Ovis aries: one gene and its partner. The protein of the gene in region 2 interacts with the protein of the main gene of each other region in a pairwise test. Links are inferred from orthologs where the notes say so. Each region holds a gene or a part of one and is shown on either strand. Other genes may lie near its edges. The genes, in order: HNRNPM and HNRNPF.

What was found.
Region 1: the proteins of HNRNPF (region 2) and HNRNPM interact in binary tests that used the Homo sapiens proteins (3 or more experiments, as listed by UniProt). The two-hybrid records come from large-scale screens. The link is inferred for Ovis aries from reciprocal best matches to the Homo sapiens genes HNRNPF and HNRNPM.

The regions. Positions count from the first base shown.
Region 1 is NC_056058.1:14,822,551-14,826,362, reverse strand, and holds part of HNRNPM (heterogeneous nuclear ribonucleoprotein M), read right to left. Parts: intron 3,685-3,812; coding exon 3,531-3,684; intron 2,380-3,530; coding exon 2,330-2,379; intron 839-2,329; coding exon 778-838; intron 1-777. UniProt on the Homo sapiens protein: Pre-mRNA binding protein in vivo, binds avidly to poly(G) and poly(U) RNA homopolymers in vitro. Involved in splicing.
Region 2 is NC_056078.1:13,149,428-13,153,339, forward strand, and holds the start of HNRNPF (heterogeneous nuclear ribonucleoprotein F), read right to left. Parts: upstream 2,722-3,912; 5' UTR 2,664-2,721; exon of another isoform or gene 2,603-2,663; intron 2,341-2,602; 5' UTR 2,273-2,340; intron 1,678-2,272; exon of another isoform or gene 1,522-1,677; intron 668-1,521; exon of another isoform or gene 1-667.

The DNA of each region.
Region 1 (3,812 bases), on a different chromosome or scaffold from region 2:
CCTCCACTGCTCCCGTGCTCAGGCTCCCTGCCCTTCTGTGGGCCTGCCCGGGAAGACTTCACTATTACCCGCTCTTCCTACCTATGCCTTCCCTGCCCCAGGATGGACTTTCACCTGGATGTCACAAATGACCCTATATAAAAATTCTGACTGTTATACTTCACACACCATAAACTTCACCCTTTCTCCAGGCCCTGGCAATCACAATCCACCTGTCTTATGAACTCGCCTGTTCTAGACATTTCCAATAGACAGAATCAAAGTTCATCCATACTGTAGCACGTTACCAGTACTTCTTTTTTACGGCTAACAGTCCACTGTCTAGATTTACCATGTTTTATTCACCCATTCATCAGCTGAAACCATGCAGCCATGAACATCTGTGTACAGGTTTCTGTGTGGGTATCAGGTTTCAGCTCTCTTGTAGTGTATACCTAAGAGTGGGACTGCTGGGCCATATGGTAATAACCAATCTCTTCTGAACCCAAGTGCAAGCTGGCTTTCATTTTTTTGCAGTTTGTTTTTTCCCAGCTACACCTTCTGTGTCCTGGGCAGCCTGCCTCACCGCAATGTAATCCTAACAACCCTTCCTACGTTGTCTCTCTGCTCATTTTTCACCCCAAAAAAATTTATAAGGAAAATAATCTTTTTGAATCTTTTGCTCAAGAACAGTCTAGATAACTGAAGACTGACATCCCAACTTCAAAGGTAATTGTAATTTTCTGGTTATAAAACATTAAATTCAAAATTGTAGCCATAAATAATTGAGACACTTACGGGGAAGTTGCTGTGGACGCTCAGGAGGGAAAAAATCTCCCTTTGGTAAGGCCCTCTCATCCTGAAAGAGAAAGTGAATAAATCTCAGTATTCCCTGCAGCACTGCCAGCAACAGCAAAAGCTGGAAGCAACTCCTATCAACAGAGGACAGATCAGAGACATGAGGATACACCCATGGCACAGAAGAACATGCCAAATATACATAAAAGAATATGGGGGAAAAAAAAAAAGAATATGGGAGAGTTGCGACCTTTCATGTAAAGGGGGAAAGATAAAAAATAAACATTCACATCACTGAGGGGGAAGAATGGGACCTGGACACAAAGTAAGAGAAAGACTCTCACACTCAAACTTTTCATGTGTTCTGACTTTTGAATCATGTGAAAGTGAAAGTCGCCCAGTTGTGACCAACTCTTGGTGACCCCATGGACTGTCCATGGAATTCTCTAGGCCAGAATATTGGAGTGGGTAGCCTTTCCCTTCTCCAGGGGATCTTCCCAAGCCAGGGATGCAACCCAGGTCTCCCACATTGCAAGCGGATTCTTTACCAGCTGAGCCACAAGGGAAGCCCAAGAACACTGGAGTGGGTAGTCTATCCCCTCTCCAGTAGATCTTCCCAACCCAGGAATTGAACCAGGGTCTCCTGCATTGCAGGTGGATTCTTTACCAACTGAGCTATCAGGTGAATCATATGAAGCAATTATCTATTCAAAAAGCTAAACTGAACGCTCAAAAGGAACAAAACAAATCCTTAATAGTTTCTTCTATTTTCTTCCTGATCTTCAGTCCTAACTAGATGACCCTCAGCACATTCCAGTCATGCCTGTATTAATCATTAATACTGTTATCTTTGGCATCTTTGGCACAGCCACAGCTGTTTATACTAAAATGCTCCAAAAGAACTTTAAAGGCTTTCTGAATCAGACTTCATTATGTTTACAACAGATAGGATGCTAAGCAAACATACTTCCAATACTCTGAAAATTGGAAACCTATGTATATAACCATTCTCTGAAACCAACCACTTGCTCAAGCAGGATACTCAAGTGACTACTGATCATGCAAAGGAAAAAATATCTGAAGAGTTGTATGAGCAGAAAGTTATTTGTTATTTGTCATAAATTTGCTCAACATACTGCAGACTTTGACTCAGACTGATCCATAAATAGAGCACAATGGCTATGTGCATGTACACTCTTAAATAGTCCCATGTTTTTGCTAACCTTATTCGAGTATATTAAAGAGAAAGAGATCCTTGGAATTCCCTGGTAGTCCAACAGTTAAGAATCCATCTGCCAATGCAGGGGACACGGATTCAATCCCTGGTCCAGGAAGAACATATGCCACGGAGCAACTCAGCCCATGAACCACAACTACTGAAGTCCATGTGCCCTAGAGCCTGTGCTACACAATAAGAGAAGCCACTGCAATGAGAAGGCCTGTGCACCGCAGCCAGAGAGTAGCCCTCACTCCCAGCAACTAGAGAAAGTCAGTGTGCAGCAACAAAGATCCAGCACAGCCAATAAATAAATAAAAGACCCTATTAACTTACCATTTTCACGTGCATTGGTCTGTCAAACAGCAGCTGGCCATTGAACATAGCTGATATTACAATTAAGGCTATTTCTTGCAATTCTAAAAACATGCATAGCAGCAAAGAAATACCCAAAAGAAAAATACTCCAACTGCGGCCACCAGTCCTTCTAGGTAGTGAATTTATGAGTAATTTTGATTCCTGCTTATACTTTCAAGTATTTGCTCCTACAGTAAGCATAAAAGCAACAATAAACAAGGCTCAAGGGGGATAAAACGAAACCTCTGCTTACTCCTTAGGTGTGGATCTTCAGTCATAAAACCTTATACTTCTCACTAAACCATTCTCCTCTTAAAAAGCACTCACATTAGGGACTCCCTTCATGGTCCAATGGTTCAACTTCATGCTTCCAATGCAAAGGAAGCAGATTCGATCCCTGCTTGGCAAACTAAGATTCCATGTACTACATGAACTCCCCCTTCCCCCGCCACCGCCCCGCAAAAAGAAAAGAACAACGCTGACATCAGTTTTCCTAGTGTGTCCAATACGCCCGGTGTTCTAGCATGTTTTGAAGTACCATATTTTCTGGGTAATATACTCAGTGACAGTCTTACCAGAGTTTAAGATCAGTGTTCATGTGTGGTATTCTCTCTGTGGTCACTCTAGAGTGAGCAGCCTAGAGTCAGAGAGGTGCTTCTTCCAGAATGTCAATCCACTGGAGAAGACAGGCCCTGTAAGGGTTTACCTCTCCCTTCAAATCAGACCTTCTAAAAAGAAAACCCTGGAGAAGACTACTCACTGACATGTGCCCATTTTCGAACCATCGCTTCTATCTACACAGTATTGGACTCCTGTCGTAATATCCACAGTAATGTATTCTCTCTAGTCACGTGTGCATACACACTCACTTGTGTCTAACTCTTTGCGACGCCAAGGACTGTAGCCCATCAGGCTCCCCTGTCCATGGGATTTTCCAGGCAAGAATACTGGAGTGGGTTGCTATTGCCTCCTCCAGGGGGTCTTCCTGACCCAAGAATCATACCCATATCTCTTGCATCTCCTGCACTGGCAGGTGATCCACTAGCACCACCTGAGGATCCTCCAGTAACACAGGAAATGCTAATACACAACATTACCACTTCCCCACACAAACCTGCATTACTAATACAACACTTAAGCCAAACTAAATTCACTAGGTCGAATTCCAAAAGAAGGATACATATAGCTTGCACGGCTTCAATGGACTGTTCAAAAGTAACAGTGCCTATTCCACGACTTTTTCCATCTTTATCCTCAAGAATGTCTGCTCGGACCACCACACCAGCCATACTAAAAACTTCCTTCAGTTTCTTCCAGCCAACTTTATAATCCAGCTAATCAAGAGAAGAGAGAGGAAAATCTCACTGTAAACATTTTTACTACACTTGTGACATGCTTTGGGTAGAAAACAAGCATTAGAAAATGTTACAAAAATAATGTCATAAGCCTTTTAACTACTATT
Region 2 (3,912 bases):
GGGCCCTGGTAGAAGACAAGCCGTCAGGCAGACCTTTGTCCCGGTCCCACCTATATCCCTTAAGACACATCTGTACGATGACAACACAGTAATAATTCCCTGCAAACTGGTCATGAGCATGCGATTAGAAAATGTGGAAAAACACCTAGCTCTGTGTGTGGATCCAGTTAAGGATCACTTAATGTGTTTCTACAAAGAATCTGAGAACCAGAGCTCAGATTGGAGAGGGCAGGTTGGTGGTAAAGTCAGCTTTGTGGAAGGTGGCCCCCTCCCACTTCTGTAGTCTCTTCAGGCACCGACTCCAAATGGCACGCACCCCTTGTCTCCACACCCTCCCTCAGTTTCGGCCACAACAAGGACTAACTCTCCTCAAATCAACTCACATTTTACAGTTATTTTATGTTTAAAGGGAGCTCTGTAACAACAGTACTCAAGTGAAAACCAGTCACTTGCCAGTTAAAGAGAAAAGCAACAAAAAGCAAATAATACAAAAAGAACGTTACTAAAATAAACGTTAAAAAACAGACACCGTAAAACGGAAATAAAAAACCGAATCAACTTACAGAGAATGCACACAGGAAGATGAGATCCCCCAAGGCAAAGGATGAACCTGCTTAACATCCGTAATAAAGCGATCTCTCTCAATATTCATTAAGTGCAGAAATTACTTTAAAATGAAAAGAGAAAAACTGCCTAAAAATTAGCACTGAAAACATCACTGATAGGCCCTAATAGGTTTTTATCTGACCGGAGAACCCGAAACTATTTTCATTTTTACTAGAAATTCAGAAAGTCAACTTTTAAAAACGTGACTGAAATACTGACAATTAGAGTAAAATCGATAGTTTCGATGCTGTTTTTAAAAGATTTGCCGCCTTCAACCCTCCGAGTTCCACGAGGGTCGGACCACGCGAGGCCCGCCCCCAACGCCGGCGGCCTGGGCCCCTCCCCCCGCAGCCGGCGGTTCCCGGAAGCGGCCGCGCCGCACGGCCCCCGTCAGCGTATGGCCGCTCGCGGGCCGCTCTCCCGCCGAGCACCCGTCCGCAGTGGCAGACAGGCTCTCTCCCCACAACCTCAAACACAGTTGTGAAGCATGGTCGTTCGTCTTAGGACCTCCAGGGGAAGAAAACTGCCGAGGGCATCCCAAAGGACGCGGGACTCGCCGGTGCCGGCGTGGTGGGGGCTGGGGGTGCGGCGGCTCTCCAGGGCCTCAAGTTATTTGTTGGGAACCTCTGAGAGCCCTTTTAGAGTACATATTAAAGGGGAGAGGCCCACGGCCCCTCCAACCGTTCAGGTAAAAGACCAGGGTCCAAAGCCGGTCGGGTCCCCGCAACTCGCGGAGCCTCCCCCGGGCCGCCCGGCGCCGCCTTCCGTGAGCCACACGGGAACAGGGAGGGGGAGGTGCAGCGCGAGCAGCGTCCAGAAGTTTCTCGGGCGCAGGCAAGAACGGGCACAAAGTACATTCAAAGATAAAAGTAGTACCGACAAGAAAAAAGAAACGGCCAAATTAAGATAGCTCACCAGAAGTGTGGTCACCAGGCCAAGACAACGAGAACCAGAGTTTCAACCAAAATACAGGCAGGACACCTCCAAGAGCAGGAGACGAATGCAGACGGGGCTCAGGGCACAGAAGCTGCACGGAGAGGAAGAAAAGGCCCCAACGCTCGAAAGTCGAGGCTCGGCGAGCGGGAACGTGGGAGGAGGGAGGAGTCAGGTCCCAACCAGTCTAGTTCAACTCGCGGACGCGTTCAGCCACGTGCAAGTACCGCTTTCATTTTAAAATGACCCTCCTAGAGCGGTTGCCTGGTCTTCCCACCCTACTCCTGCCAGGGGCGCTAGGGCTCTGCTCCCTCTGGAGTCCGCACGAGACTCTCCTTCCCCTTCCCTGCCTCCCAAAGCCCAAACCTCAGCCCCGCCGTCTAGTGCCGGGAATATAAGGCCCGTGACCTCAAATCCACCTCCCCCAAGCCCAAATCAGTCCCGCGGTCCCCACCCTCAGTGGGCCGGGTCCCCTTTCAGTACCCTGTCGGTCCCCGAATACACGGCCCCTGACCTCAGTTCCATTTCCTCCGACTCCAAACCTCAGCCCCGCGGTCCCCAACTACCCCCGTAGGCCCAGACCCCAATCGGTCCCGGGTGTGAGGGCCTTCACCCCAGATCCCGCCTTCGCTGACCCCCAAATCTCAGTCCCTCGACCCTCAATGCCAAGTGCCTCAGTCCCCAGCCGGTCCCTGGTAGGCGAGCCTCGGACGCCGCCTGTCCCACCCCTCACCTCGGGGTCCGAGTCTCCACGCCCCCGCTTTTCTTCACATCCGGCACCTTGGTCGTCCCTCTAAGCACCTAGAGGAGGGTGGAACGCTAGGGACTTGGCAGTTGTGACTGAGGCAGTTGAGGCTTGTTTACCATCACCATGGAAACCCCTGGCAGCGCGCCCCGCGAGGGGGCCCCGAGGGGCGGGTTCAGGCACGCGGCAGGCCCGAGTCCACAACCCCCGCCCGTTGTGCGCACTCGGCGCTTCCGGAAGCCCTAAAGCTCTCAGAGTGCCCTACCCCTCCTCAGCCCCACACCCAAGCACCCAGGAACAGGAGCACCAGGAACTCACGCCCCCGCCCCGCTCCCGGCTGCCGGCGTAACAGCTGGCCGGTTTCCCCGCAGAATCCCACCTGCTTCTCCAACAAGACGCGGCGCAGTCCCACTTCCAAGACGGAGCCGGAAAGACGCAAAGACCGCGGAGGGGCGGGGTCTCCAAGGCGGGCGTCCGGGGGCGGAGCCGCGGGGGCGCTATTGTGACGCTCCCGGAGCGGAGCCGGGGATTGGCCGGCTAGTAGTAGGGCGGGGCAGGGGCGTACGGAGCGGGGGCGCTGCTGAGACGGGAGGTACGGGCGGGGGGCGAGCTCTACAGCATGGTCAGTGGGGACTTTTTGAGCCGCAATAGATACTGACTGGGAGAGTCCCCCAAATATTGAGCCCAAAGGACGCCTGGCCAGGGCAAAAGAAGAAAAAAAGAGTTATTTCCTGCTGAGAATTGAAGAGGGAACCGAGGACACCGGAAACCGATAAAGGCGGCTCCGAGGGCAGGGTTTAGAGAGGGATTAGCAAGTTGACCTGGGGTTGCTCAACTGATTCTTTCTTAGGCTTAGAAGCCCCAGGGTTGCTAAAGGTGGCCTTCAGGACCCCGAGGAAAATTAGTTTTCAGTCAGAGCCCCTGAGCTGACTGGCAAGGCGGTAACTGAAATGGCTACCCTGCCTCAGGCAGTGGAGCAGATTCTTTAATGTGTTCTGGGGTTAATAATTACTATTTTATTTTTGGAGCTTCCATAAAGAGGAATATATAAAGGCACTCATCACTGGCTAAGTAGAAGATTATTTTAAAAACCACCAGTTAATAAGGGGGTGCTTGGAATAGGGTCCGATTATGAGTGAAAGTGAAGTGTTAGTTGCTTAGTCGTGTCCAACTCTGCGATCCTGTGGACCATAGCCCGCCAGGATCTTCTATCCCTGGAATTCTCCAGGCAAGAATACTGTAGTGGGTTGCCATTATGAGTAGTTACTATAGAAAAGGAAGGAGCACAGTTTGTCACCAGAAGTTGATTCTAAGGGGAAAAGAAAAGTAAAAGCAAGAGGACTTGAAAATAAAGAGAAAACTGATGAGGCACAATTACAGAAAACAGGTTCTTCAAAACTCAAATAAGTTATTTGTAAGAAATCCAATGACACCATCACAGGTTAGGCTATAGAAAAGTCTGACTCCGGAGAAAAAATGCAAGTAGCTAATCTGAGGCAAATATTCAAATTACACACACACACAAAAGCTTGAGAATTTAGAGACTGAAATCAGGTCCAATAAGACATGTTCCTACAAAGCACTAAGCAGGCCTCTGAGCCATGGGGGCTTTTTGATCCCCTCATCAA